Xenopus tropicalis: one gene and its partner. The protein of the gene in region 2 purifies or fractionates together with the protein of the main gene of each other region. This does not show direct contact. Links are inferred from orthologs where the notes say so. Each region holds a gene or a part of one and is shown on either strand. Other genes may lie near its edges.

Region 1 (15,655 bases), on a different chromosome or scaffold from region 2:
GGTTTAGAGCATTGACCCAAGGTCTACAAGATCCAATCAGCGAGATTTCACCCACAGCTTTGAGTGGGACAAAGGGGCAAAGATCTATCAACTTTATACGTGGCCACCATGTGTGCTCAGCTAAACAGCATACGTAGCATTGCAAAGTCATATATGCCCGGAACATGTGCAATAAGGGGAGACAAGGTGAGCCCAGTGTTGCCAAGGTAAGTTACCCACTGATGACCAAGCTCAATGCCCACTGCTAAAGATATCCGATGGCCAGATACTAATTCAGTCCATTATATCCACTAATCCTTTCCATGCCAGTGGCCCAGGGCAAGCACCGAACCATTGGGCGGTTGAACTAACTTTGCAGATCAGCATTGGTGCCAAAACCAAGAAGATCTCCCAAGACCCAAACTGATTGTGCCGCACTCACACAGGCAAAGGCACAGCTCCGACTGAAATCAACCCAAACTCTGAGCATAACATTGTGCCAAGTGTGGGAGAATATTTTCTCACCCAGGTGACAGGTTCATTCATACAACGTTACCCGCTTGGCATATGCTTCTTCCCAGTGCCCAGTCTGATTAATGTGACACGGCCCATTACCACTGGTACCTTGGAAGCAGGATACAGTAGGTCATGTTTTCTTTACAAAATAAGTGCCCCCAGCACCTCAGTCACAAGGGGTGACTTGGGCACAGATGCATAACTTAAACTGGAACTTTATCCAAAAACTTTTTTCCATTAAGAAAGAAAATACAGTTTTAAGCAATTTTCCACATTCCAGTGGTTTTGAAGTCATTTTTACATTGTAATTGCAATTGTCCCCTTCTGTCCTGTGGTTCTGACTCCTGCAGCAATGTAGCAGAAGTCAGTGTATTGTAGCATTGCCCGCAGCTGGCTGATTATGTTATTCTACTGCCCAGTGAGTGAATGTCCTGTTACAGGGAATTGGAAAGCAGAATATGACAGGGCAGCCATAGGGGTTAAAGTTCCGCAGAGATAAAAAGTAGATAAATAGAAAGAATAGAAAGTGAAATTATGAGAGTAGAAGGAATCCGGGCTCACCTCTCGCAGTGATACCTCCGAGCCGATTCATAGCCAAGGCAGAGTCTGCTGCTGTCTTTATGCTTCTGGCACATCCTCCCATTCTACCACTCCCACTCCTGAGTAAATAAGCCCATTAATTGCCTTTCTGTAGCTGTGAATGACTTGCACAAAGCTGGGCATCTGAATGGAGAGCAGAATGGAACCTAGAGATGTGTGGGGCCCTCAGTACCGAGACAGAGCAACAGATACAAAGGAAGTGTCTATAGCACCCAGACAGGTGCCCCCCACCCCCAAAACAGCCCCTGGTTCCTGTCAATGCATAGTGTGCTAAGCAGGGCCCCTAGTTGTCTGGGCAGTTACAACTACACTGCTTCTTTACATGGTGTGACCCAATATGACTGCAGTTATATGGCTGTTACCCCAATGTTTCTATATATCTGTAACCTTGTTATGGGCTAAGGGGGCCCAGCCTGAAGGCCAGTTAGGGGGGATTTGGGGTGAGTGCTTATTTGTGCCCTGGGTACCCCTGGAACTATAGCGGGGTGACTGTTACCCCAATGTTTCTATATATCTGTAACCTTGTTATGGGCTATGGGGGCCCAGCCTGAAGGCCAGTTAGGGGGGGATTTGGGGTGAGTGCTTATTTGTGCCCTGGTACCCCTGGAACTATAGCAGGGTGACTGTTACCCCAATGTTTCTATATATCTGTAACCTTGTTATGGGCTAAGGGGGCCCAGCCTGAAGGCCAGTTAGGGGGGATTTGGGGTGAGTGCTTATTTGTGCCCTGGGTACCCCTGGAACTATAGCAGGGTGACTGTTACCCCAATGTTTCTATATATCTGTAACCTTGTTATGGGCTAAGGGGGCCCAGCCTGAAGGCCAGTTAGGGGGGGATTTGGGGTGAGTGCTTATTTGTGCCCTGGGTACCCCTGGAACTATAGCAGGGTGACTGTTACCCCAATGTTTCTATATATCTGTAACCTTGTTATGGGCTAAGGGGGCCCAGCCTGAAGGCCAGTTAGGGGGGGATTTGGGGTGAGTGCTTATTTGTGCCCTGGGTACCCCTGGAACTATAGCAGGGTGACTGTTACCCCAATGTTTCTATATATCTGTAACCTTGTTATGGGCTAAGGGGGCCCAGCCTGAAGGCCAGTTAGGGGGGATTTGGGGTGAGTGCTTATTTGTGCCCTGGGTACCCCTGGAACTATAGCAGGGTGACTGTTACCCCAATGTTTCTATATATCTGTAACCTTGTTATGGGCTAAGGGGGCCCAGCCTGAAGGCCAGTTAGGGGGGGATTTGGGGTGAGTGCTTATTTGTGCCCTGGGTACCCCTGGAACTATAGCAGGGTGACTGTTACCCCAATGTTTCTATATATCTGTAACCTTGTTATGGGCTAAGGGGGCCCAGCCTGAAGGCCAGTTAGGGGGGATTTGGGGTGAGTGCTTATTTGTGCCCTGGGTACCCCTGGAACTATAGCAGGGTGACTGTTACCCCAATGTTTCTATATATCTGTAACCTTGTTATGGGCTAAGGGGGCCCAGCCTGAAGGCCAGTTAGGGGGGGATTTGGGGTGAGTGCTTATTTGTGCCCTGGGTACCCCTGGAACTATAGCAGGGTGACTGTTACCCCAATGTTTCTATATATCTGTAACCTTGTTATGGCTAAGGGGGCCCAGCCTGAAGGCCAGTTAGGGGGGATTTGGGTGAGTGCTTATTTGTGCCCTGGGTACCCCTGGAACTATAGCAGGGTGACTGTTACCCCAATGTTTCTATATATCTGTAACCTTGTTATGGGCTAAGGGGGCCCAGCCTGAAGGCCAGTTAGGGGGGGATTTGGGGTGAGTGCTTATTTGTGCCCTGGGTACCCCTGGAACTATAGCAGGGTGACTGTTACCCCAATGTTTCTATATATCTGTAACCTTGTTATGGGCTAAGGGGGCCCAGCCTGAAGGCCAGTTAGGGGGGGATTTGGGGTGAGTGCTTATTTGTGCCCTGGGTACCCCTGGAACTATAGCAGGGTGACTGTTACCCCAATGTTTCTATATATCTGTAACCTTGTTATGGGCTAAGGGGGCCCAGCCTGAAGGCCAGTTAGGGGGGATTTGGGGTGAGTGCTTATTTGTGCCCTGGGTACCCCTGGAACTGTAGCAGGGTGACTGTTACCCCAATGTTTCTATATATCTGTAACCTTGTTATGGGCTAAGGGGGCCCAGCCTGAAGGCCAGTTAGGGGGGGATTTGGGGTGAGTGCTTATTTGTGCCCTGGGTACCCCTGGAACTGTAGCAGGGTGACTGTTACCCCAATGTTTCTATATATCTGTAACCTTGTTATGGGCTAAGGGGGCCCAGCCTGAAGGCCAGTTAGGGGGGATTTGGGGTGAGTGCTTATTTGTGCCCTGGGTACCCCTGGAACTATAGCAGGGTGACTGTTACCCCAATGTTTCTATATATCTGTAACCTTGTTATGGGCTAAGGGGGCCCAGCCTGAAGGCCAGTTAGGGGGGGATTTGGGGTGAGTGCTTATTTGTGCCCTGGGTACCCCTGGAACTATAGCAGGGTGACTGTTACCCCAATGTTTCTATATATCTGTAACCTTGTTATGGGCTAAGGGGGCCCAGCCTGAAGGCCAGTTAGGGGGGATTTGGGGTGAGTGCTTATTTGTGCCCTGGGTACCCCTGGAACTATAGCAGGGTGACTGTTACCCCAATGTTTCTATATATCTGTAACCTTGTTATGGGCTAAGGGGGCCCAGCCTGAAGGCCAGTTAGGGGCAGCTGCCTGTGTATCAGCACTAGGCCAAGAGTGAACTGCTCTTTGCCAATAACACTTCTATCTTAGTGCCAGTTGATATTTTGGCTAGCTCCCCACTGTGCAGGAATCCTAACCTTATTCTGTAGAACAATAAAATAAGTGATAAATGTGCCTGACTATGGGACTCACCATATCACAATTTCTAGTCTAGAATGGAGGTGAGGTGACCCCTAGGTCTGCAGAGCAATATTAAGAGGTGAGGGGGCATCTGGGGAGGGGGGATTATATGGGGTATGGGTAACAAGATTAGTACAGACCTGGAGAATGCTAATACCCATTGTATAGCTACAAGACTAATGTAACAATGGCACCATCCAGCTTCAGATGAAAGACCCATTGGTTACACCTTATCCTCCCACAGATGATTATCATTTATGCATTGGCAGCAGGGAGGGAAGAGATTTATTGATTTAACAAGTCGATACAAATGGAAGTTCTTGTTTTACATCAAATAAAACCATGTCCAAGCCGCTCGGGGAAAGGTACAAAGTATTGATACAAGGGGGCCGCGCCTAATCTGCACCTATTGTTATAGGCGTAACTGATGGAAGGCAACTTGCACAATGCCTGTACCAATTACATAGAGATACTGCTATATATATATACTCTATATATATATATATATATACAACTAGTTTATGGTATAGGGGGAAAGGTATAAGGGGATAACGTAATAACAGGTGCAGTCAATGCTACCTGCTGATTGGTTGCTATGGGTTACTAGACCTGAAGAATGTTGCAATTGTAATTACATTGCATTCTTAAACCCCATTAATGCCTCTTGTTAATTGGATGGACAGCTAGCCAATGTGCTTATTTGTTCATATACAGCTTAGAGAGGAGAAATGTGACGGAATGGATGTCTTTGTAGCAGAAGATGGTAAAAGAAATGTGGGTCAGGCAGGGGAAGTCAAACTGCTGAATATGGAATCTGTAAGGAATGTGTTTCCCCTCAGAGGCAGATTGACAATGGCACCTAATTGTTGCCTTGCTCTAGATCATTTACCAGCTAAATAGTAATTATGGGAGTAAAAGGGATAGTGACTGATGGATCTGTGTCTCTTAATGCTCAGTAGCCATGTTACATTGTGTTTACAACTTAAGTCCAAATCCGCAGTAGTTCTTATCGCACCTTAGTTGCTAAAGCCCAAGGCGCTCTGGCCAGGCTTGTTATCTTTTCTAGAGACAAACTACTAGTTGCAGAAATCCTTATTAAACCTTCTTTAACCCCCAAACCTCCTATGTGGCTAGGGTTGTTATTGGTAATGACTTATTACTTATGGGTAACCATCTTCCCAGAGGCTATTATCCCCCCACTGCTACTATAGGCACCATCTCTCCCTACTATACCTGCTATCCCACAGCCCCAGTCCCTTCCCAGAGGCTATTATCCCCCCACTGCTACTATAGGCACCATCTCTCCCTACTATACCTGCTATCCCACAGCCCCAGTCCCTTCCCAGAGGCTATTATCCCACTGCTACTATAGGCACCATCTCTCCCTACTATACCTGCTATCCCACAGCCCCAGTCCCTTCCCAGAGGCTATTATCCCCCCACTGCTACTATAGGCACCATCTCTCCCTACTATACCTGCTATCCCACAGCCCCAGTCCCTTCCCAGAGGCTATTATCCCACTGCTACTATAGGCACCATCTCTCCCTACTATACCTGCTATCCCACAGCCCCAGTCCCTTCCCAGAGGCTATTATCCCCCCACTGCTACTATAGGCACCATCTCTCCCTACTATACCTGCTATCCCACAGCCCCAGTCCCTTCCCAGAGGCTATTATCCCCCCACTGCTACTATAGGCACCATCTCTCCCTACTATACCTGCTATCCCACAGCCCCAGTCCCTTCCCAGAGGCTATTATCCCCCCACTGCTACTATAGGCACCATCTCTCCCTACTATACCTGCTATCCCACAGCCCCAGTCCCTTCCCAGAGGCTATTATCCCCCCACTGCTACTATAGGCACCATCTCTCCCTACTATACCTGCTATCCCACAGCCCCAGTCCCTTCCCAGAGGCTATTATCCCCCCACTGCTACTATAGGCACCATCTCTCCCTACTATACCTGCTATCCCACAGCCCCAGTCCCTTCCCAGAGGCTATTATCCCCCCACTGCTACTATAGGCACCATCTCTCCCTACTATACCTGCTATCCCACAGCCCCAGTCCCTTCCCAGAGGCTATTATCCCCCACTGCTACTATAGGCACCATCTCTCCCTACTATACCTGCTATCCCACAGCCCCAGTCCCTTCCCAGAGGCTATTATCCCCCCACTGCTACTATAGGCACCATCTCTCCCTACTATACCTGCTATCCCACAGCCCCAGTCCCTTCCCAGAGGCTATTATCCCCCCCACTGCTACTATAGGCACCATCTCTCCCTACTATACCTGCTATCCCACAGCCCCAGTCCCTTCCCAGAGGCTATTATCCCACTGCTACTATAGGCACCATCTCTCCCTACTATACCTGCTATCCCACAGCCCCAGTTCCTTCCCAGAGGCTATTATCCCACTGCTACTATAGGCACCATCTCTCCCTACTATACCTGCTATCCCACAGCCCCAGTCCCTTCCCAGAGGCTATTATCCCCCCCCTGATACTATAGGCACCATCTCTCCCTACTATACCTGCTATCCCACAGCCCCAGTCCCTTCCCAGAGGCTATTATCCCCCCCACTGCTACTATAGGCACCATCTCTCCCTACTATACCTGCTATCCCACAGCCCCAGTCCCTTCCCAGAGGCTATTATCCCCCCACTGCTACTATAGGCACCATCTCTCCCTACTATACCTGCTATCCCACAGCCCCAGTCCCTTCCCAGAGGCTATTATCCCCCCCACTGCTACTATAGGCACCATCTCCCCCTGCTATACCTGCTATCCCACAGCCCCAGTCCCTTCCCAGAGGCTATTATCCCCCCACTGCTACTATAGGGCACCATCTCTCCCTACTATACCTGCTATCCCACAGCCCCAGTCCCTTCCCAGAGGCTATTATCCCCCCACTGCTACTATAGGCACCATCTCTCCCTACTATACCTGCTATCCCACAGCCCCAGTCCCTTCCCAGAGGCTATTATCCCACTGCTACTATAGGCACCATCTCTCCCTACTATACCTGCTATCCCACAGCCCCAGTCCCTTCCCAGAGGCTATTATCCCCCCACTGCTACTATAGGTACCATCTCTCCCTACTATACCTGCTATCCCACAGCCCCAGTCCCTTCCCAGAGGCTATTATCCCCCCACTGCTACTATAGGTACCATCTCTCCCTACTATACCTGCTATCCCACAGCCCCAGTCCCTTCCCAGAGGCTATTATCCCCCCACTGCTACTATAGGCACCATCTCTCCCTACTATACCTGCTATCCCACAGCCCCAGTCCCTTCCCAGAGGCTATTATCCCACTGCTACTATAGGCACCATCTCTCCCTACTATACCTGCTATCCCACAGCCCCAGTCCCTTCCCAGAGGCTATTATCCCCCCACTGCTACTATAGGCACCATCTCTCCCTACTATACCTGCTATCCCACAGCCCCAGTCCCTTCCCAGAGGCTATTATCCCCCCACTGCTACTATAGGCACCATCTCTCCCTCCCACCATCTCTGCTTGGACCACCCCTAATGATGACTTGTTTGAGGGTGACTTTTACATCCAGTTAATTCGCCGTATTGTCTGTAAGTGTCTATTTAAAAATAAATCAAGTCCTATAGATCCCATTGTGCTGCCACTATCCTATATAGGCCAGGGCAGGGAAACCCATCTTGGACATCTGAGATAATAACGTCACCGCACTGTTATTACCCTGTGCCAGGGGTCCCCAACCTTTCTTACTCGTGAGCCACAGTCAAATATAAAAAGATTTGGGGAGCAACACAAGCACCATAAAAGTTCATGGAGGAGCCAAATAAGGGCTGTGATTGGCTATTAGGGGCCTCTATGCACCCTATCAGCTTACAGGGGCTTTATTTGGTAGGAAATCTTGTTTTTATTCAACCAAAACTTGCCCCCAAGTCAGGAATTCAAAAATAACTCCCTGGTTTGGGGGCACTGAGAGCAACATCCAAGGGGTTGGGGAGCAACATGTTGCCCCCAAACTACTGGTTGGGGATCACTGCCCTGTGCAATCTAAATGGTTTACTCCCATAGGAGCAGTCTTGCCAAAAGTGGGAAAATTGCCCTTTAATCTGACATTGAGTTGTTGTGTCTGGCAATTAATACAGTGTGAGTGCAGCAGATGATGTGAATAAATAGAGATTATTGTAGCCCTTTCCTAGTTAGTAAACAGTGTTTGCAAAATAAAAGAAACCACAGAGGAGTAACAGAGAGGAAGCAGACCCTGCGGCTGCAGAGAGGGGAGGGGACTGGGCCCATAAGGAACACACCAGGCTTCTGTCTAATAGGAATTATAATATACAGTAAATTGCATATTTAATAAATTCATAGCCAATAAAGTAATCTAGCGTTATTACTGTATAATTATTATGTTCATAATCATCCTTCATTAATATGGCACCAAGATGGCACGCAGCTTATTGCTGAGATTCCCTCCCTGCCCTGGGGTCCGTGCCATCCCATGAAGCTGTGTGAGTGTGGGAAACCATACGGCACAGGGGGAGTATACAGATATATACAGTATATGTGACGGATGGGTTCCCCTTGTGTACATCACATGACTTTACAAATTGCCCCCTCCATACTTGATGGGTATCCTGGGCCAAATGTGTTAGAACTCTTAGTGGGACAGACATTGCAGAACGTGCAGGGGGTTCAATCAGGGACACAGTGGATCCCTATAGAGAGAAAGAGCAGCTGGCAGTCAGGACTAGAAGGTGACAGTGAGATAAGATGTCTCAGCAGAATGTAAATTTTGACCGACTTACTGCCCTTGAGTTCAGAGTCAGACTGGGTCGATGGGGCACCAGAAAAAAACCCTTGTTGGCCTTGCTTGCCCCGACCCGATCCCCACCGGCACTCATCACAAGTCATTTGTTGAAAATATAACATCCAGCACCCATGGAACCACCCCCCACCCGTACCCACCCTGTGGAAAAGCTAGATTCCCAGGTAGCAAAAGCAACAGAGCTTTTGGGGAGAGTGGAGGGAGGGGCTTATAGATTATGGGAGGAGTTTGGGCATTATTTGGGAGTTACTTAGGGGGATCATGCAAGGGACTTTTTTCCCATTGTGACCCCATTTTACTTGTTGGCAGAATTCACCACCTAGAGGGCCCAGGTTACCAGTGGGCTAATAATTGGGGCCTCCTGAAGGAAGGGCCCTGCTAACGTAGTAGTATAGGGAGCCATAACTACTGATATTTATTTATTCCCATGATCATGTCATCTGACTGCTAACTGGCCCACAGCATGGCAAGAGTTGGACAGAGATAGGCTAATTGAATTTCCAGGGCTCAATAGGAAACACACTAAGGTTACAAATCCCTATAATCCCTATGGAATATTACTGCATGAATATTTCAGGGCAGACGGGCCAATGAGATTCCCAGTTGGAACATCTGTTCTTCTAAACCAGGGGTTTCCAACTGAGGCTCAGCTACAATACCCAGCACCCCCCAAGGCCCAACAGTGGTACATTCGGGGGGGGGGATACTGGAAGTTCCATATCAACAGTTGGGTGGCTCCGGGTTGGCCGAGCCTGTTATAAATCAGGACAGAGCGGCTGCGGCAGGGCTATAACATGGGCTCAGGTGTAACATACAGAGAATAATGCAGATAGATGCACCACTATTACCCCCAGTCTGGAAATACAAAATGTAGACTAAATAAAAAAAAAAATATATATATACATTTGTGCCCTTAATAAATTACCAAGGCACAATGACCCACAATTACCCTCACTGGGGCACCACGCCGCAGCCCCATGGCACTTACCCAGTGTGAGAGGCGCAAAGGCATCAGGGTTTGTATTGCATTGGGCACATCCAGCCGCTTCAGGCTCTCCTCCCTCTGCCTCCTGTAGGTTTCTATTCACAAGATGCTGCAGATCCCTTCCAGGCTGCAGGTTATTATGGCCGGCCGCATCTGCATTCTCTCCCTGTGCCTCGGGATTCTCTGTCTCTTCCCAGAATTTGCTTTCCCCCCTCTTTTATGTAACGACTTTTTTGTTGCGTCAGGAGAGTTGCCAGGAAACAGCATAGCAATTCCATCCCAACATCTCCCTTTCTCTCCCCATCTCCCCTATTCATTCAGCCTCTGCTATGGGCACAGCATTGCTCCTCAGCCCCACTCAGCCCGGAGCCCCTGGGTCCTACAGCCTCCTGCTCTCTATCTGTCATTGATGCAATGTATATATATATATATATATATATATATATATATAGGGGGAGATTTGGGGTGACTGTTACCCCAATGTTTCTATATATCTGTAACCTTGTTATGGGCTAAGGGGGCCCAGCCTGAAGGCCAGTTAGGGGGGGAATTGGGGTGAGTGCTTATTTGTGCCCTGGGTACCCCTGGAACTATAGCGGGGTGACTGTTACCCCAATGTTTCTATATATCTGTAACCTTGTTATGGGCTAAGGGGGCCCATCCTGAAGGCCAGTTAGGGGGGGATTTGGGGTGAGTGCTTATTTGTGCCCTGGGTACCCCTGGAACTATAACAGGGTGACTGTTACCCCAATGTTTCTATATATCTGTAACCTTGTTATGGGCTAAGGGGGCCCAGCCTGAAGGCCAGTTAGGGGGGATTTGGGGTGAGTGCTTATTTGTGCCCTGGGTACCCCTGGAACTATAACAGGGTGACTGTTACCCCAATGTTTCTATATATCTGTAACCTTGTTATGGGCTAAGGGGGCCCAGCCTGAAGGCCAGTTAGGGGGGGATTTGGGGTGAGTGCTTATTTGTGCCCTGGGTACCCCTGGAACTATAACAGGGTGACTGTTACCCCAATGTTTCTATATATCTGTAACCTTGTTATGGGCTAAGGGGGCCCAGCCTGAAGGCCAGTTAGGGGGGGGATTTGGGGTGAGTGCTTATTTGTGCCCTGGGTACCCCTGGAACTATAACAGGGTGACTGTTACCCCAATGTTTCTATATATCTGTAACCTTGTTATGGGCTAAGGGGGCCCAGCCTGAAGGCCAGTTAGGGGGGATTTGGGGTGAGTGCTTATTTGTGCCCTGGGTACCCCTGGAACTATAGCAGGGTGACTGTTACCCCAATGTTTCTATATATCTGTAACCTTGTTATGGGCTAAGGGGGCCCAGCCTGAAGGCCAGTTAGGGGGGATTTGGGGTGAGTGCTTATTTGTGCCCTGGGTACCCCTGGAACTATAGCAGGGTGACTGTTACCCCAATGTTTCTATATATCTGTAACCTTGTTATGGGCTAAGGGGGCCCAGCCTGAAGGCCAGTTAGGGGGGATTTGGGGTGAGTGCTTATTTGTGCCCTGGGTACCCTTGGAACTATAGCAGGGTGACTGTTACCCCAATGTTTCTATATAGCTTTGGGGAGGCTGGCCATTGCTGGATCACTAAAGCCTTTGAATCACAAATATTTGATAACTGTTGCCATATATATATATAGGAAGCTCAGCAGAGTATTTCTACATAAGGCAACTGAGCAATACAGACTATTTTGGAACAGACGCCACTTCCAATACAAACAACAGGGTGGTTACTTGGACTCCTCAGAGCAAATTGTTATTCTGCCCTCCCTGGCTAGGAGTGTTTATCTGCCCTGGAGCAGGCATTATCATAAGGTGCCCGCTGGGCAATACTCTGCCCTGTAGCACATACATATATTCCAGTAAGGACTATAATAAGCCCCGGCCCCACTGTGACCTACTCATCTGCCTCCTAATGTCTCTCTCACTGTCCTGTCCTGGGAGCCTCACACACATCCTGCCCCTCGTTGGAAGGGGAGATTGAGGGGTTAATAGGTGGAGTCACAAGAGAGTCAATATATTAATATGTATGATAATCATGGGGTTTTATTCCTGAGTGAGGAACACGAGGAGAGACGTTATGTTTCTAACAAGAACTCACTGTTAGGGCCTTGGGCAGATCCTGAATGCAGAGCTATGTTATAGAATGGTCAATTCTAAGCAACTTTTAGATTGGTCTTCATTATTTATTTGTTATAGTTTTTGAATTATTTTGCCTTCTTCTTCCAACTCTTTGGAGTTTTCCAAATGGGGGTCACTGACCCCGGCAGCCAAAAACGATTGCTCTGTGAGGCTCCAGCTTTATTGTTATTGTTACTTTTTGTAGCGTTCTTTTCTATTCCCCTATTTATCTAAGTCACTCCCTTGTTGCTAAGGTAACTTGGACCCTAGCAACCAAATAACTGCCAAAACTCCAAAGTAGAGAGCTCCTGAACTGAAAATGAAATAACTATAAACTACAAATAATATAAAATGAAGACCAATTGCAAATTGTTTCAAAATATTACTCTCTACATCATACTTTTTCAATTAGGCAAAAATCAATTGCCCCGGGGTACATGGATACATTCCCCATTATCATACGAACAGAGACAATTTGCAATTGGTCTTCATTTTTATTATTTTTGTTTTTTTTTTAATTACTTCAAGTTTATTCAGCAACTCTCCAGTTTGGAATTGCAGCAGCTATCTGGTTGCTAGGGTACTAATTACCTTAGCAACCCGAGAGTGGTTTAACTCTTTTTATTCTTTTTATTCTTAACTTCTTATATTCTATATTATTCTAATTTGAGGTCATTAATAGTAGTCGTCTAAGCATTTCACTGCATATCATAATTGTATGACTGTGTATGTGACAAATAAAATTTGAATTTGAATTTTAACTGAGAGACTGATTATATTTATAATAGGAGAGGACCTAAATATAAAAATAACTCATAATAATGAACTTCAGTTGAAACGTGGCTTACAATTGGCCATTCTGTGCATTCTAAAAGTTAAAGGAACAGTAACACCAAAAAAAAATGAAAGTATATCAAAGTAACCGCCGCTTTAAACATTGAGACCCTGAAATGTAGGGAGTAACCGGAGCCACTTTTGCTACTGAGTCGCAATCTATAGTGACCGAGCAGCGATGCAGCATTTCCCATGGCTCTTATAGAGAAAGTTCCCACCCATTCGCCCCATGAGAAAAGTGATACTTATCTGTGACATGGAACTGTCCCTAATTAATCATGATTGCCTTAATTGCAGGAACATTTCACTCCCTTTGAACTTGGTTATGGCTGTAATGATCACTTCTCAGCCCCAGGAACTGTACATTGTACCATCACCTTCAGGAAAATGTCCCTGGCCCTTTAAGAAGATTAGGGAAAAAGGAAGCAAATAAAAAGGCAAAGTAAAGAAATATTTGGTTATAAATAATGCAGAAATTGAGTTGAATCTTCATGACCCTTACCGCTCCCTGTAACCACTTATACAGCACTTAGAGAGCGTGTGTGTGTTTAATAGGCAGTTAGTGCCCATAGCGATGCACTAGAGAGGGGCCACGGGCCCCCAGGGATGGGGGGGGGGGGTACAGTGCGGCACACTGACTGCTTATTTAGCATCCAAAGACCTTTAAACCAGTGAAAATGTGCAATGAATGGATATTGGGACGTTGCTGAGAGTTCCATTCTCCCTTATACAAAATACAATATTTGGGTAGAGTTCCCCTTTACGCAGAGATAAACAGGGGCCACGTTTATACAGGGTGAAACATTCTCCCATATAAACCAGAACTGTTGCTGCCGGGAAATACTTTATCCGGAGGAGCCTGACAAACAGATCTACAACTGTAAATAAACTATTTTCACTTGAAGGTGTGACCTGCCCTTTAACCTCTTAAAGTGACAGTAGCACTTATAGGTTTGATGTACATTCAGTTATTAAATATGCCTGTCAGTTTGTATAATACTGATGGGCGCTGGTGTAGGTGCAGCCGGGACCTTTGGATATTGCTTTGGGGCAATTAATCACGGCTTTTATATTGTTGCCCAAAGAGCTTATCCGTTTTTGCTGCAGGGATCTGAATAGCTGCCTCCGGGGCTGTAAAGGAATTTTTTGAACAAAAAGATAAAGCAGGATATTGTCCCTATTCATTATTTATGTGACTGGTCTGTTAATAGCTGCTGTGCGGCCGCCCCACACCCCGCTCTGTTAGCTTTCTCACTGGGTGCAAATAGCTCAGGGATCGATGCCGCCTTTGTACCCTCTGTACTTTGAGCTGGGAATATTTTCACACTCATTTTTCAGCGTCTTCTGGGTTTATTCAAAATGTGTTGTGTTTTTAATGCTGTCTCTTGATCAGGTTTACAAGGGCGCCACCTAATGGCTGGATACAGGTACTGCCTGGGGAAATGAATTCACTGTTGGAGACTATACTATTCCCTGATCTATAGTAATAATTCACAGAAATAAAAGATTTTCTGAAAACAGCAGAATGGAATATACAATATGTTTCTGGGTTCAACCAAGGGGGGCTCCCACTCCCAACAGATTGTTTGCATACCTCCCAACATTTTGAAAACAGAAAGAGGGACAAAAATAAATGCTGCGCGGTGAATTTTTTGACCACGCCCATTTTTGAGGCTACACCTCCTAATTACCACTCCCATTTGACTAAATTTGGCAGGTTATTTATAGTTTGAACACATTTGTGGGGGTTTCGGGGTCCTGTTTTATGTGTTATTACAGTTTTGCTAATGAAGGTAAAGTTGCCCTTTAAGCTGTGAGTCTCCGTTCCCCCAAGAGACCTGTTTAGCTTATTAGTTACAATTGTATCTCAGTGCAGGGGGGGCTTTTTACCTTTCTGGGCTCTGCTAAATGCTACTTATTTAATTAAATGTGAGAAACACTGTATCTAAGTGCAAGTGATGCTGGTTAAGATTTCTGGGCTCTCTGCCAAAAGCTACTTTTAATTAAATTTGTATCTTTTTTAGCTTCAGTGCAGGAGATCAAAGGGAAATGAGGGACTTTTCAGTAAGAATCCGGGACTGCGGGCTGAGCTGTTAAAAGAGGGCCCTTGGTGAGTGAGTCTGACCATCCAGCCTGATCAATTTCCATTCTCCTCACATAGTAACTAAGACTAAGGGGTATATTTATCATGCTGTGTAAAAAGTGGAGTGAAGCATTACCAGTAATGTTGCCCAAGGCATCCAATCAGTAATCAGATTTCAACAGTAGCAAAGCATCTATTGGCTGCTATGAGCAACATCACCGGTAATGTCTTACTCCAGTTTTTACACATTGTGATAAATATACCCCTTAGTATCTTACTAAGTATATTAATAAAAAATTTGGCCCCCTTATGTGATTGAGTTTGACACCCCTGATATAAAGCAATCAATAACCGATACAAGAGGGGAAGAGAGCCCTGCCCAAAAGAGCTTACACTCTACAAGGAGTAACATATAAAGCAACCAATAACCGATACAGGAGGGGAAGGGAGCCCTGCCCAAAAGAGCTTACACTCTACAAGGAGTAACATATAAAGCAATCAGTAACCGATACAAGAGGGGAAGAGAGCCCTGCCCAAAAGAGCTTACACTCTACAAGGAGTAACATATAAAGCAATCAGTAACCGATACAGGAGGGGAAGAGAGCCCTGCCCAAAAGAGCTTACACTCTACAAGGAGTAACATATAAAGCAATCAGTAACCGATACAGGAGGGGAAGAGAGCCCTGCCCAAAAGAGCTTACACTCTACAAGGAGTAACATATAAAGCAATCAATAACCGATACAGGAGGGGAAGGGAGCCCTGCCCAAAAGAGCTTACACTCTACAAGGAGTAACATATAAAGCAACCAATAACCGATACAAGAGGGGAAGGGAGCC
Region 2 (15,665 bases):
CTAAGCACAATTCAGCAGGAACAGCCCCCTTAGTTTGCTCATAGCCTGTACAGAGAGATACCATAAAACTATGGCAGCATAGGGATTCCCCTGTACTAAGCACAATTCAGCAGGAACAGCCCCCTTAGTTTGCTCATAGCCTGTACAGAGAGATACCATAAAACTATGGCAGCATAGGGATTCCCCTGTACTAAGCACAATTCAGCAGGAACAGCCCCCTTAGTTTGCTCATAGCCTGTACAGAGAGATACCATAAAACTATGGCACATAGGGATTCCCCTGTACTAAGCACAATTCAGCAAGAACAGCCCCCTAAGTTTGCTCATAGCCTGTACAGAGAGAAACCATAAAATTATGGCAGCATAGGGATTCCCCGTACTAAGCACAATTCAGCAGGAACAGCCCCCTAAGTTTGCTCCATATGACAGCCACATGAACGCTGCTCAGTGCTGCTCTCTTCTGCTAGTGTTGGGTGAGTCTGGGAAGGGGCGTACACTAAAGGGCAAATTACATTCTTTCCATGGGCATGGAAAAAAAAAATTTTGTCGCGCTACGCACGGCAAAGGTTTTTGTTCCTATTTACATTTTTAAAATGTTGGGAGTTGTGCCTGTATTAAGCACAATTCAGAAGGAACAGCCTAAAAAACTATAAAACTATGGCAACATAGGGAATCCTCTGCACTAAGCATAATTCACAATGTACTAAGGAGGCTCCGCAAAAATGGTTCCAATTGGGCCCCGCAGTTGGTAAGGCCGGCCCTGGAAGCTTGCACTTGTAACCCCTATTCTGAAAAAACCTTCCCTTGATCCCTCCAATCCTAGTAACCTTCGACCTATCTCTCTGCTCCCATTCATCTCCATACTGCTCAAACGCCTAGTTTACAACCAACTGACGCTATTCCTCTCTGACAATAACCTCCTGGTTTTAGACAACACTCCACCGAAACTGCTCTAACCCGACTAACAAATGACCTCCTATCGGCTAAAGTCAAAGCCTACTAATACTTCTCGATCTCTTGGCTGCTTTTGACACTGTGGATCACCTTTTTCTCCTCCAGTCTCTCTGCTCTCTTGGCCTTCGTGACACTGCCTTATCCTGGTTTTCATCTTATCTCTCAGATCGATCCTTCAGTGTCTCTTACAATGGTGAATCGTCTTCTCCCTTGCCTCTTTCTGTTGGGGTTCCTCAAGGCTCTGTCCTGGGTCCCTTACTATTTTCTCTCTATACCTCCTCACTTGGCAAATTAATCAATTCTTTTGGCTTTCAGTACCACCTCTATGCTGATAATACTCAGATCTATCTTTCCTCTCCTAATCTCAACCCAGAGCTTCTAACTCGTGTCTCTTCCTGCCTGTCTGCTATCTCTACTTGGATGTCCCAACGTTACCTTAAATTAAACCTCTCTAAGACTGAATTGGTTCTCTTTCCCCCATCCAATGCCCACATTGTTTCCGAGGTATCTATAAAGGTTAACAATTCTACCATCACCCCATCTTCCCAGGCCCGGTGCCTTGGGGTTATCCTTGATTCTGCCCTGTCCTTCACTCCTCATATCCAGTCACTTATCAAATCATGTCACTTTCACCTAAGAAATATTTCCAAAATACGATCATTTATCACCCAAGATGCTGCCAAAATTCTGATTCATTCTCTCATTATATCTCGCCTGGACTACTGTAACTCCCTATTAATTGGCCTTCCCCTCCAAAGTCTGTCCCCACTCCAGTCCATAATGAATACTACTGCCCGGCTCATACACCTCTCCAACCACTCCTCCTCTGCCGTGCCACTCTGCCAATCCCTGCACTGGCTTCCCCTACCATCCAGGATAAAATTCAAACTAATGACTCTCACATTCAAAGCAGTTCATAACTCTGCCCCACCCTACATCTCTAGGTACCATCCAACCTGCTTGTTACGCTCCTCTACTGACCTGCTCCTCAACTGACCTGCTCCTCAACTCCTCTCTCATTCCTTCCTCACATGCTTGCTTTCAAGACTTTGCAAGGGCTTTCCCCCTTCTCTGGAATTCGCTCCCACAAACTGTCAGACTTTCTCCCAATCTCTCTGCCTTCAAGAAATCTCTAAAAACACATTTATTTAGAGAAGTTTACCCTAATCTAGATTAACATAACCTCAGTGTGCTGCTAAAAGCATTACCCTGTGCCACACCTCTCACAACTCTGGTCTTGCCCATTCCCACACCTTGTGTCTCAACCCTTCCTCCTTGTAGATTGTAAGCTCTTTTGGGCAGGGCTCTCTTCACCTCTTGTATCGGTTAATGATTGCTTTATATGTTACTCTGTATGTCCAATGTATGAAACCCACTTATTATACAGCGCTGCGGAATATGTTTATAAATAAATGTTAATAATAATAATAATATAAATAAACATACTTTATGTCTTTACCATACAATAGCTCTTAACAACAAGCCACCCACAATAAAGTGGCCACCCCTGCTTCCACAGATCAGGTAATCCCATACAAGATCATCATCTGAGGCACTGCCCACCCTAATGTATGATGTATACAGATGTGCTGTAATATTAGGCAGTGGTTATCACAGAGGGCCCATAATGACCCATTCTGAGAATATCAGTATGTAGTGCATATAACTGGTCTCCTTGTAATGAATCTAAGCCTTATAACTTGCATTAGAGGACTAGATGAGCACGATAGAGAAATGACTGAATCACATTTCTAATATGAGTAACCACTTATGGTAATTGGCTTGTTTACAAATCTGTCTAAAAAGAATGCAAATCTAGCCAGATGCTACGAGCTGAAGCAGATGAGTCAGTAAGTGGAATGCTATTTTCTATTGACTCAACTATATTTAATTTAAATTTGTAATTTTCCCTATGTATTAGTAATTGAATGCCATTGACCAGGAATGCCTGCACGAAGGTGCAGACTGCTTGACCCTGACTATCTGGCTAGCACTGATAAGTGGACATAGAGCCAAAAGCATTACAGCACACTAGTAAAGCCATAAATACATGTTCTTATTCTCTCACATCCTTTCCTAGAACTCCCTTTCCTGGCTGATTTATCAAAAGATCAGTGGTAAGAACATACTTTGTTTCTGTACATAAAGACTCTAATTTTTCCTTATCTGTTATCTAATTCAACTTAATGGTGAAGACACATGCAGTGATTAGTAGCCGCGGCTTTTTAAAAAAACGAATTAAAAACAAATAGCAGCGACTTATATAGAAACCTACGTCGGTTAAGTCATCGCAATTACTCTGACTGACTTTTTAAAAAGTTGTGGCGATTAATCACCCTGTGTGCCTTCACCTAAAGGGGTAGTTCATCTTAAAGTTAACTTTTAGTAAGATACAGAATGGCCTATTATTATCAAATTGGTCTTTAATTTTCATAGGTTTAAATTATTAACCTCCCTCTTCTGCTTATCTGTCTGGATCAATGGCTTTTTATCTTTGCAGGTATTTTACTTATATCCCTACATAGACGGACTGTTGTTTTTATATTAAAAGAGAACAATGATCAGTCTCCAACTGACTTCTTAAACAGAATGGGCCAAAGCCATTTTTATAAAATACTTTTACATCGTGTTGTGTGCCTTGATTCAAATTATACCATAATTGCACTTATAATTCCAAGTTAATAATAGGCATTTATATTTTACACCACAGCAAACCATTAATTTTATTTGTCTAATCAGGGATTGTGTTTTTACATGTGTGTCATGCCTTGAGGAGAATGTAAACCTATGACTGTCCTTTCAATTTGCAGGTAAGCATTTAGTTTTGTACTGCAGTGTCACACAACCACCCAGAATACACATTTTCTTACGGATTTAAAATGATTAATTATGCACTGATGAAGTTTGCACATACCTGGAATTAAGATCTGACAGAGTTAATTACAAGGAAGATATTTGTTTGTGTGCATAGTGACATGGTTGTATCACCACCAAGATGATGTTGCACATGCAGAAAATTGGTGAAACTGCTTTCATAATTGTCATTGCTGCAAAGTAATAACAGCCATAGTAGCCACATTAATAATTCTTTGAGGTGCACAGATGTCTCTCACTTTGTTTTTTTTTGTTTTGTTTTTTAACAGGAATAAAAAATAGGTTTCAATGTTATATTCTTTATATAAAAGCATAATCTGATTTTAAAGTTTCCATAATCTATCATTGTGATTCTATACATCCATATAACCTCTGTCCCATCCTTTAATAATCTTAAATCCTAAAGCATGCAAACAATCTATGACTTCCCAGCCATTAGTTCAGCAGATGGGGAGAAACCCTTGGCATATTTTTCCTCCCTCTGGGGAAGACTCTACCCTTCCATTACTCCTTCTGTTCATTGAATTATGCAAGTATATTGCCTAAAGGTAACTCTATTCTTATGTTATTTTGTTGTCCATAAGATACATCTCATTGTCTTTGATCTATTTAAATCTGCTTTTTACAAACCCATGGCAACACTTGTATGTGACTGCAATAAAATTATATAGCACACAAAAAATATGTGCCATTTCCAGGCAGTTTGTCTTGCAGATCAAGACATAAAGATGCACATTATCTTTGACCTACATATGCAAGAGAATTACTAAGGATGTGTTGAATGTGTAGGAATGGCAAAAAAATATTCTGCATGATATAAAGTTAGTGGAGGGATGAAGACAAAAAAGCAGAAATGTTTTTGGGGGTGCTGACTGCATAGATATGGGTAAAAGGAGTAATAGGGTGTGTTTTAGCAATTTTTTGGCAGATAATAACTGTATTGAGAGCTGAAATCAAAATGCAGAGCTAAACAGAAAAGAAATACAATCAGTTGTGGGCTTTATGTAGAGTTGAGAGAAGTGAAGGGAATCTTCAGACAAAGCTGTGGCCACAAAGGCTAATAACCAGGCCTGGACTGGCAAACTGTACATTCTGGCAAATGCCAGAGGAGCTGCTGTAAGATGACAGAAACAGACACTATATATTGAGCTGGGGGGGGGGGGGGGTCTGTTTTGGCCTTTGTGTACTTTAATTGTCAGGGCCTATTATCAGTCCCAGTCTGGACCTGCTTACAACAGATCTGTGGCCTAAGAAGATAGGGAGTGGTTATGCAAAGATGCATTAGAAGACCGGTTGCTAAAGCAAAGCTAAACAAAGAAAAGCTCCATCTAACCTATGGCCAGAAAAAAACCTGTCTCTATGGTGCACTGTGGACAGCAGAATGAATATGTAAACAGCAACATGGAATGTGAGAACCTTGTAAAAGACTGGTACCCTACAAAATCTAAATGAGAAAATGAAAAACTACAAAGTGGGGCAGCAGAAATACCAAAAAAGCTGGCTCTGTCAATAAAAAAATAATTTTAGCTGTTCAAGCACTTGCAAATACTGGCATATTTCCATAAGCTTTTATGCACAATTTAATGGCCTAATATAGGGCTCTTAGCTCTAGGTAGATTTTGCTGTGTTTCTGCCCAACTGTAAATATGTCAGAACAGGCAGCAACTGAAAGACAGATTTTTTTTTCTTTCAAAACTGTAAGTTGTGTATATAGCATGGACATAATGTCTGCACAATCAGAAAAACATGTTTAATTCTAGAAATATTTTCTCTGCTTGCATGGGAACATTATAAAAATGTTAATTTCTAGTGTATATATGAATTATCTACACCTTTTATTTTCATTTATTAGTGGTTTTTCCTGTCTTTTGTTCCTACAGCCTATTAATTTAGGGTGGTTGTCTCAGTCTTAGGGGCTGATTTACTAAGACACGATTTCGAATCCGAATTGGAAAAATTCCGATTGGAAACGAACATTTTGCGACTTTTTCGTATTTTTTTGTGATTTTTTCGGCGTCTTTACGATTTTTGCGTTAGAACGCGAGTTTTTCGTAGCCATTACGAAAGTTGCGCAAAGTCGCGATTTTTTCGTAGCGTTAACACTTGCGCGCAAAGTCGCGCCTTTTTCGTAGCGTTAAAACTTAAAAGGCGCAACGTTTCACGCAAGTTTTAACGCTACAAAAAAAAATCGCGACTTTGCGCAACTTTCGTAATGGCTACGAAAAACTCGCGTTTTTACGCAAAAAACGTAAAGACACCGAAAAACTCGCGTTTTTACGCAAAATTACCGATCATTACGAAAAAAACGCAATCGGACGCATTCGGCCCGTTCGTGGGTTAGTAAATGTGCCCCTTAGTGACTTGAGATTTCTACATGAAGTAGAGGCAAAGTAACAAATCAGCACAGCATTAATAAAGTTGGTTTAGTTCCCCTTAAAACAACGAATGATTCCCACTGTCATGGATTTTATTCTCAGGTTTCATGCTCCTTGGCCTAGAATCAATGCTGGTAATTTGCACCAAGGTAGAAGGTAGATGATACAAATTATGAAATGCTTTAGTATGTAACAAGGCGGCAAAAAAGGTAGAATGATGAAAACAGCGGGTCCTGATTGTTCCTATGCGACATGTATGATGCCCCATATTCCGCGCAGCTATAGATTAAATAGGAATGTTATCACTGCCTGTCACTGCCTGACTGATCCCATTTTCCATCTGGCACAAATACTACAATGCCTTCGGGTGTGTATGAGAAGATGAAGTTTGTCCCATCTGCTGCCCGTACTCCAGTGAAAGTCTTTATTCCCTATGGATATGCAGTGCTGCCTCCTGGCCGGAAGAGGGCTCTTCCAACATTGTTCTGACGTCAGTCGGGACATTCCTTCCCTTTCCGGTGGGAAGGGCTTCGTCTCCCGGTTCTGCTCCGTGATCCCGAGCCAAAGAGGAGAAGAAAAGGAGGAGCATTGAAGAATACAGGGAGTGGGGGCGGCCATGATCTCCGCCGGTTACGCTGTAAAGCAGCAGCAAGCGGCTAACTAACTTGTAACTGAGGGGAGAGGGATACTGCACAGCCGGACTGGGTGGGGGGCTCGTCCCCTGTTCATGGACCAAGCGGGCCTTGGAGCTGCATAGTGTCTTGTGGAGCCTTTGCCATGTCTGGATAGGTCCTAGCGAGCAGCCGGGGGGAAGAACGCCTTAGTGTGTCCTCAGGGTGCGGGGAGCCACCCTACAAATTGCCATTTCTATTGGCAGCAGTGCAACGCCATTCACTATCATAACCTGCTTAGTTTAGCTAGGCTGCTCGCTGAGCCACGGGAAGATGTCGGCCAAAGTGAGGCTGAAGAAGCTGGAGCAGCTGCTCCTGGATGGGCCCCAGAGGAACGAGGCGGCCCTGAGTGTGGAGACCTTGCTGGATGTGCTTCTCTGCCTGTATACCGAGTGCAGCCATTCCACCCTCCGCAGGGACAAGTATGTCAGCGAGTTCCTGGAATGGGGTGAGTGTGGGCATCACCATGGGCACTGGGCAAAGGGATCCGGGCACTGGGCAAAGGGATCCGGGCACTGTAATGTTGCACAACCCATGCACACACATTCTGACTTCCACAGCATTGACTATAGGATTATTTGGCCGTGCAGACTTTGGTATAAAGGTGACCAAGTGCATGCAAACAGTTTATACATGGATGTAGTAGTATTCAGGCCTCCATGGAATATCTATTTGGCAAATTAGCTTGGTTGCAGTGTATCCCAGGATCTTCAGTGGTGGCTCGCTATGCTAGTGTGTGGGTTTAGATAAACAGTTATCTGTCCCCAGATTGTGTTCAACAACACCCCCAGCAGTTCTTTACCAGGGAGGAGGGGTTGCAGGCTTTTGTCATTCAGCAACAGCTGGAGGGCCAAAGGCTGGGCATCTCCCTTTAACTCTGTTATTGTTTATAAAACCAAGGCTTTAGCTTCCACTTATCAGCCTGGCACTTTAATCCATTTGCTGCTAACCATTTGGCAAACCAGTCAACAACTAATATTCTGCATATAAAAGTTGGGGTTTATAGTCTTACTGAACAACATGTGACAGACCCTCCTCCCAAGTTTAGAAATTGGGAAATTGTGTTTCTTTTTACCGTCAGTGACTTAAACCATTGTAAACACGAGTCTCCACATAAGGAACACATGGAGGAACACACCAGTTTGTATCTGTTAATGAGATTATTGGTTTTAAATCCTGCATGTAGAGTGCCTGTAATCAGGGTGATGTACATATGTATCTGTGCTGCTGTCTTGGGAGAGGAGATAAGTCTGAGCTTTTCTTCTCTCAGTTATGTCAGGATGTGTTGGGGGGGGTATTAATGTGAGCATTGACAGGGAATACCTCTGATATAAATCAAGCAAAAGTAAACTGCCATGGACCAGATCAGGTTAAAATATTAAGTCAGTGGTGTGTTGGATAACTTCTCCATTGGTGGTGCCATCTGGACAGGTAAAGGTTTTTCAATTGAATGATTGCTCTGAATTTGTATGTTTTTTAATCCAGTAGGCTAATATTTATACATTTGATGGCAGTGTAAGACAATTGAAAGAAATGTTGTTGCTGCTGATTATAAAATACCACTAAATTCAGAAGCGCCTAATGTTTATGTAGAACAGGCTTTGGGCACAAATAATATTTAGAAGACTTCTGATAAAGTTAAAATGATCTCAGGTATGTCTTTGCTGTAGTCTTAAAGGATCACATGAACCAGTCTTCTTCCTCTTCCTGCCCATCCCAGTTCTAGAGAACATCCTTGTGGAATGCATGTGAGTTGCAAACAGCATCAGTTGTGGTATCCAGTCATGCTCCCCACAGCTGCTCCAGTCTATGAGCCTTACATTTTAATGCACTGTGCTGGAAACTGCTGCACACTACTTGCTATACAGAAGTGATTCTCCAGCTTTTTCCTGCTAGATCAAGCAGCGCAAACTCTAAATATATGATCTTCTCTAAAGGTTTTGACGTTCATTATATACAAAAGCAATACAGAGGACAGAAAGAGCAACTTGTCCACTCCACTGCATTTCTATATGAGCTAAAGTAATGAACTTCAAACCTGTGATTCCAGATACTTTGCATATTTGTATGTGTGTGCGTGTATAATATATATATAGATATATAGATATATATATATAGATATATAGATCTATAGCCACTACATGAGCCTGCATAATTTAGTTTGAGCTGTGCAATACAGATAAAAAAAAAAAACTTATCCTCAACTTACTGATAGAATGGAAAATATATCCAGGCCAAAAGCAGGATGACTTATTAATGTATTTTCCTTTTTGAAGACCAAACTGAATGTGAATTTTTAATAGTAATTGAATAAACATTTGGAGCCTGATCGATGTGGATGCTACATGTGGCAAACTCTGTAGGAATCCTTCTCAAAAACAAGCTGAAAGCAGGAAATTTTTACTTCCTGTTTATATGGCTAAGAATAAGCCATGACTGCAAGAAGCTGACTGCTGAGACCTTTATCTGATATGCATAAAACTACTCAAATCTAAAGATTAAACCTACCTCCTAAATACATTAATGTTATTTAGCAGTATAATGCTATGTTCTAACAAAATCAAAGATGGGGAGTTCCTGCGGACAACTTCGAAGGCCTGGTTACTGAGCTGATGAACCTATGAGCTGGGACACTCAGTTCAGTAAAATACAACATTTCTGTTAATATTCTGTTTTATGTTATAGGTCTCTTTTAAAGCACCAAATCCAGAATTTTTGGAGGGATTTGTCCAAATCACAAAGTGCTTTGCAGGATTCAAGTTTGACTGAATTCTTATTGCTTAGCGGAACAGAATCCAAACTTGTGATGTTATAGCTCTGGAAGCTCAAGATGACAGATTAGCTCATAGGAAGCTGAAAGTATATTCCAAATTGTCTTTACAATCATCATGTTACAGAAGTGTCACAGACAGAAACTAAGCATTCACTCCATATCTTACCCTATTTGGCCTACAAATTCCATTTGAGGAGCCTGCAAGTGCATCCCCACAGAGAAATGGGGACCTAGTCTGTTTATTAGTATTAATGAAGCAGCCATTAAATGTAAATATATTTAAAAGTTTTTAATGTTGCAGTAATGACCCTTTCCTTATTTAAAGTTGTTTCCTTTTAAAAGCAGTATCAAATTTAAGAGACTTTGTTGAAAGTCAACTTTGTATCGGTAATGTGGTCCCTACAACCAGTTGTACCTGCATGTAGTTTGCAAAAAAAATATACCCTGTAGGCATATGTTCTTTGTTAAGATGGTTATCAACATAAAACATGTTGGGTAATGTATGTAAACAAGCTAAAAAACCAGAAATACAGACTTTTTTAAAATGGTGTTGCTGAACTACAGATGCTACGGTGTGTGATCACACAGTGAAGTAAACATGCTAGTTCCATTGTGTAAAGACTATTATGCCAACAAAGAAGGCTGCTGATTTCCGTGTGGGCAAATTTCAAAATATTATTTTTCATGATCCTTGCATGTTTTCGGACACTTGTGTGTGATATAATCTTGTAGTGCCAGTCTGCTCCTATGAGAGTATTGCTTGCCACATATTTATCAAAAAATGTGCAAAAATTGCAATAAGTCTTTCCCCACCCCCATTGGGTCCTGAATTATTTTGTGAAAATGCAAATACACTCCCCTGTTCTCTACAACAATTTTGGCTGAAAATAAGGTGGATTGACATTTTCACTGTATTCAAATAGAAAGAAATATGCAGAATTTGAATGCCACATTTGCAGTGAAAATGAACAGAGCTTCTGTATGTCGTGGGCCTAAGGGGCAGATTTACCCATGTTCTTTTTATTCCTACAGGATTTTAGAAGCATGTTTATCAATGAGTGAAAGTTAGAACTTACCATTTGATAAATACCCTTTTTAAAATCCCATAGAAATGAATAGAAAGTGAGTGAATTTTACTGTGGTGAGCTCTAATTTCATATTTTGATAAATCTGCCCCAAAATGTAACATAGAGGATTGGTATCTGTATAGTTGCTATGCGATGAGCCAACCAAAAGGAGTCACAATTGACTGTAGAGTAAAATAGTGTTGGGTATGGCACCTTCCTTAGGAGTACCCTTTGCTAGTTTAGCTATGCCAATTAGGAAACGAAGGGAAGGAAGAAGAACTCTAATAGGAATTTAAAACTGCAAATAATTTATTGGGTTTATGGATGACAAAACCTTTTTTAGGTTGAGCAGGTAATGCAATCTGGATTCATGAGTTCTTTTAAAGGCCTTGAACAGTGATGGAGGTCTGCCTGTACTTTGCACTCTTGAGTCCAAGTTAAAGGGATACTGTCATGATATTTTGGTGTACTTTTTATTTCTAAATTACAATGTTTGCAAAGCGAATAATTCACTCTACCATTTAAAATTGTATTCTTGAACAACAAATGTATATTTTTTTTAGTTGTAATATTGGTGTGTAGGCAGCCATCTCAGCACATTGTGCCTGAGTTTGAGCTTTCAGAAGGAGCCAGCGCTACACATTAGAACTGCTTTCAGGTAACCTATTGTTTCTCCTACTCCCCCAAGCCGGACTTTGATTTCTTACTTTTGAGTGCTATTCTGATATCTACTGGGAGCTGCTACCTTCCCATTGTTCTGCTGATCGACTCCTTGCAGCTCAGCAGTAAAGTGTGACTGAAGTTTATCTGAGTACATAAAATGAGTCTTTGAGCTTTTTCACAATTGAGTTAATTTTTTTCAAATAAGCTGTTTTTAAGGGAAAAAAAAGGTTTTAAGAGCCTAGTGCCCTTTATCCTAATACTGTCAGGCCCAGCCTTTTCCAGTACCATGTTCTTGCTAGTATACTTGCAGCAGGGAATATTGTAAAAACATCTTGGTGGTATAACTTATTGAATGTATTGTTTCCCTGTTATATTGCTGAGAAGGGCAACATACCTATATGAAAGCATTGACTTTGTGCTTGAGGATGGTTATTCATTCTTCCAGCACTCACCTAGACGGCACACTATGCAGAAGGCTTCTGAAAGGTTTTAAAAGCATACTTCTGCATAGGTGATTTAACCCTTTGGGTACCAGCCACTTGTTAGGAGAAAAGCTTTGCCAAAAACAGCAAATTTTTAAAATAAATTTAATTTCTTAAGTGCAGTTTGTGCTTTTATACATATGTTTCCAAAGCCTTTAGTGTCTGTACACCGTATATATATGTTAGTTGCATTTAGAAACATTTAGGTTGACTGGCCAACTGGTCTGTATCTCTTGTCAAATTCTGTGTTTCAGTGTTTATAACATAGCCTTCTAGGGGCATTGTTCAGACTGTGACTGAAGCCGTTATTCCCAAAAAGTCTTAGCCATAAACTTATTGCCTGTGGGTGTGTGGCTGGTTATATGAACACTTCTTTTGCTTAACTTGTTAATAAAATGTATGTTATTGCTATGTTTTTTCTTTCAACAACTGATCAATAGAAGACCATGAAATTATGTGATGTCTTATCCATGTATTCCTGTCCTTTTTAGGGACAATCGGTGTGGTATAATTGTCCCTTAGATTTGGAGTACGCTGTGACACTGTAATATCTGAGTTTTCATGTGTATACCCCAGAGCAAATTGAAATGGTATCTGAAACAAGCATTAGCCTACCTTTCCTTCTGGGACCAATTGTTAAAAAATGGATTCCAGAGCACTATAAATTTAATGAATATAGGTGTGTAATGGGTAGCTGTAATGATGTAAGAAACCCTCAAAGATTGTATGGGCTTGGCATATTGGTGACAGAAATTAGGGTTAACCTAAAAGAGCTGGTGGTCTCAGCTAGTATTTTGGCAGGGGTTTTCTATACCTACAGCAGGGTCATGTTAAGAAAGTAGTTATCTGTGGATAATCCATAATGGTGCTGGTGACAGAAATAGTTTAGATTGACTGCATCTGTTTTGAGAGAGGCAGCAAGGTTCTTTTTAATTCACTTCTTAACTGTGTCTATTTTGTGATGACAGTCCTCTTTGGCTAATTCCACATTTAGCAGATTCTTGGCCTGAGTGTAAGTGCTGAGTGTCTGCACCTGGGGCCGATACAGTCGTGGGTAAACGCGAGCTGAGAATCTGCCACATGTGGCTTTAGCCTTTATTGGTCAGCTCACCATAAATTGAACTTTTGGTATGAGTTTTTGTTTTAAGTACCACTTTTAAAGTCCAGCATTTGTTCAGGGCTCCCTTGAGCTCATACCAATATATGAATATATAAACAGAGAAAAACATTAGTAATACAGCCAAAGTTACAAGACTTTCTTGGACTAACCCAGGCTGGGGCCATCTTTGGAGGCCAGCCCCACATTTTTGAATCCACCAATGTAGATAGTGGTATTGTGGTACATTTGGCACTTGATCTCATTTTCTATTTATTTCGATTAATTTTTATTGTTGTGATGCAAAGTTGTCATTAACTTTAGCAATGGTTTGAATGGTAGCCTGCTAACCTAAGTGTGAATAAATTGCTGCTTTTTATTCTCCAAAACCCTCTAAAGTAAAAAGCAGTGAGTGGGGTCCTTTTAGCACAAGGTGGAAAGTGGATACAATCGGAATAGGTTTAATATTTAATAAGGTAAATGGGCTCAGTATGCTCAGTCATTTCCTAGGGCAAAGTCATACCAATGTCTGTATCCTTTACTACATATCACAATGTCCCTTTCAGAAACTGTTCTACTTGGTGCCTGAAAATTATTGCGCTGAAATTCCCACGTGTTAATGCTGAAGGCAGTTAACTTTTTTCTATGATGAATGCATTTTCGTAAGGCAGAACATTACTGTCATTCAGCATTTGCGCTACTGAACAAAATGTTATGTTGTACTTCAGTAGTTGTCTTAGTCTCCACTGTGGATCCCTAGCACATTCATCTGAACATTAAATAAAAACATTTCAGCATTTTGCAGAACATGTATATTATTCATTTATATAACCTTGGCATCTAACTGGATATGTCTTTTTCAGCCTCATAATCTATGTAACTATGTTTAGATATTCATACCAGTTCCTGTTCTAGTGGAGCTTTCAATACATTTTTATTTCTGCTGCCATGACACACCATATTTTAGTATAAATGTATATATTTATAGTGTATAGATTATGGCTACCTTTTTGTTTTTAAACAGGTTTATACAGTCCTGCTTACCAAAAAGTTGGAACATTGTAAAATGTAAATATGTTTTTTGGAATGCGTTGCTGGCATCAAAGTCAAAACAAGGAAATATTTTGTAAAAAAACAACATTTTGTCATCTGATATGTTGTCTTTGTAAAATTTGCAATTAAATATAGGGTTTAATTGAAAATAATCCCATTCTCTGTGATCTAATAGTCAAATGGCTCACTAGGATTTATTCTTTGCATAGATTTCTGTTTTCCTAGGGTTTGCAATACACAGTAACTGTATTGCAAGTTAATATTTGTTTTGTATTGTAATGCAAAGTTTATTTTCTTGTAATATAACATATCGGAGGCTCTTAGTACAGGTGTGGGATCTGTCTTCTTATCCCTTTATCCAGAAAGCTTCAAATTACGAAAAGGCCATCTCCAATAGACTTCATTTAAAAAAAAAATTGATTTCAAATTATTTCCTATTTCTCTGTAATAATATAACCGTACCTTGTACTTTATCTATCCATACTAAGATATAATGAATCCCTATTGGAGGCCAGATAATCCTGTTGGGTCTATTTAATGTTTAAATTAATGGTCTGGAGATCCAAATGACAGAAAGACCTCTGCCTCAATTCCAGGGCCCCACGCATTTTGGATAATAGGTCCCATACCTGTAGAATGATAAAATTATTTTTATGCATTTATTTGTACATTTAGTACACATTTCCAATAATTCTAACGTAATTTATGGATTGCATTTGAAAGCAAGATCTTTGTATCCTTTGCTATTTCTCCCATGGCTGGCCCTGAATACAAGTACCACTGCAATAATTTAGTAGTAGTCAGCTCGCCTACCTTCCAAGACTACAATTCTGATTTTCCTTCTATAAAGGAAGAACGTGCAAGGCAGTTTGGCAACTGGACATTGTTGACGTTAAAATTATTGACAGTTTGAAATTCATATGTTGGAAAGTTTGTCCAAATAAAAAAAATATTGGGTTTATTTGCATACTTGTTGCATTTATTATCCTTAAAGGGATGCATAGTTATATCTTTTGGTGTGTAATTAAATTTTGATTTGTTACAGGCCGAAGTAGTTGACAGCTGGTGTGACTTAAATGATTGGTTCTTTTGAACTGTGGGATTTTGGGCAAGTGCTTCTTCTAACAGCAGTCTCTCTTTAGACTCTGCAAAAAAATAACTAATTTCAGTGCTCTGTATCTTCAGCTTCTCAACTCGAAGACTGTTAATTCTCAAGTATATGTAGCTTAAGGGGTTAAGGTGTAACTTCCCAGGAAGTAGGTTAAACAGGAAAAGGAAACAATCACTTTAGTGGCTGCAAACCTTTGACATCTATTGTTTTACAGGGCACACAGGCAAGGTCCACATTGTATGTATTAGGATGAGGAAAGTACTTCATAGCAATTTAGGTTATACTATGAGTGTTAATAATCTCTCTAAATTGTATTATGTAATGAAACTAGTTTTTAGCTATGAAAAATGATTTTCCTAAAGCTGGCCATACACGCACCGATAATATCATATGAAACCTCGTTTCGTACAATATTCAGCGCATGTATGGCGGCTCCACAAGCCGACCAATATTGCAAAAGGCTGTGGATATTGGTCAATTCACCGATCGGCCAGGTTAAAAGATTTTGGCCGGGTGCCATTGAAGGCGCCTGAGCAAAATCTGAATC

Evidence for each region.
Region 1: the proteins of cdc42bpb (region 2) and fam167a purify together in Homo sapiens (co-immunoprecipitation; 3 studies listed by BioGRID and IntAct, counting the BioPlex papers as one, with this or other methods). This does not show direct contact. The link is inferred for Xenopus tropicalis from reciprocal best matches to the Homo sapiens genes CDC42BPB and FAM167A.

The regions. Positions count from the first base shown.
Region 1 is NC_030681.2:150,803,207-150,818,861, reverse strand, and holds the start of fam167a (protein FAM167A), read right to left. Parts: upstream 10,090-15,655; 5' UTR 9,771-10,089; intron 1,162-9,770; exon of another isoform or gene 1,057-1,161; intron 652-1,056; exon of another isoform or gene 536-651; intron 1-535.
Region 2 is NC_030684.2:97,958,095-97,973,759, reverse strand, and holds the start of cdc42bpb (serine/threonine-protein kinase MRCK beta), read left to right. Parts: upstream 1-6,647; 5' UTR 6,648-7,146; coding exon 7,147-7,321; intron 7,322-15,665. UniProt on the Homo sapiens protein: Serine/threonine-protein kinase which is an important downstream effector of CDC42 and plays a role in the regulation of cytoskeleton reorganization and cell migration. Regulates actin cytoskeletal reorganization via phosphorylation of PPP1R12C and MYL9/MLC2.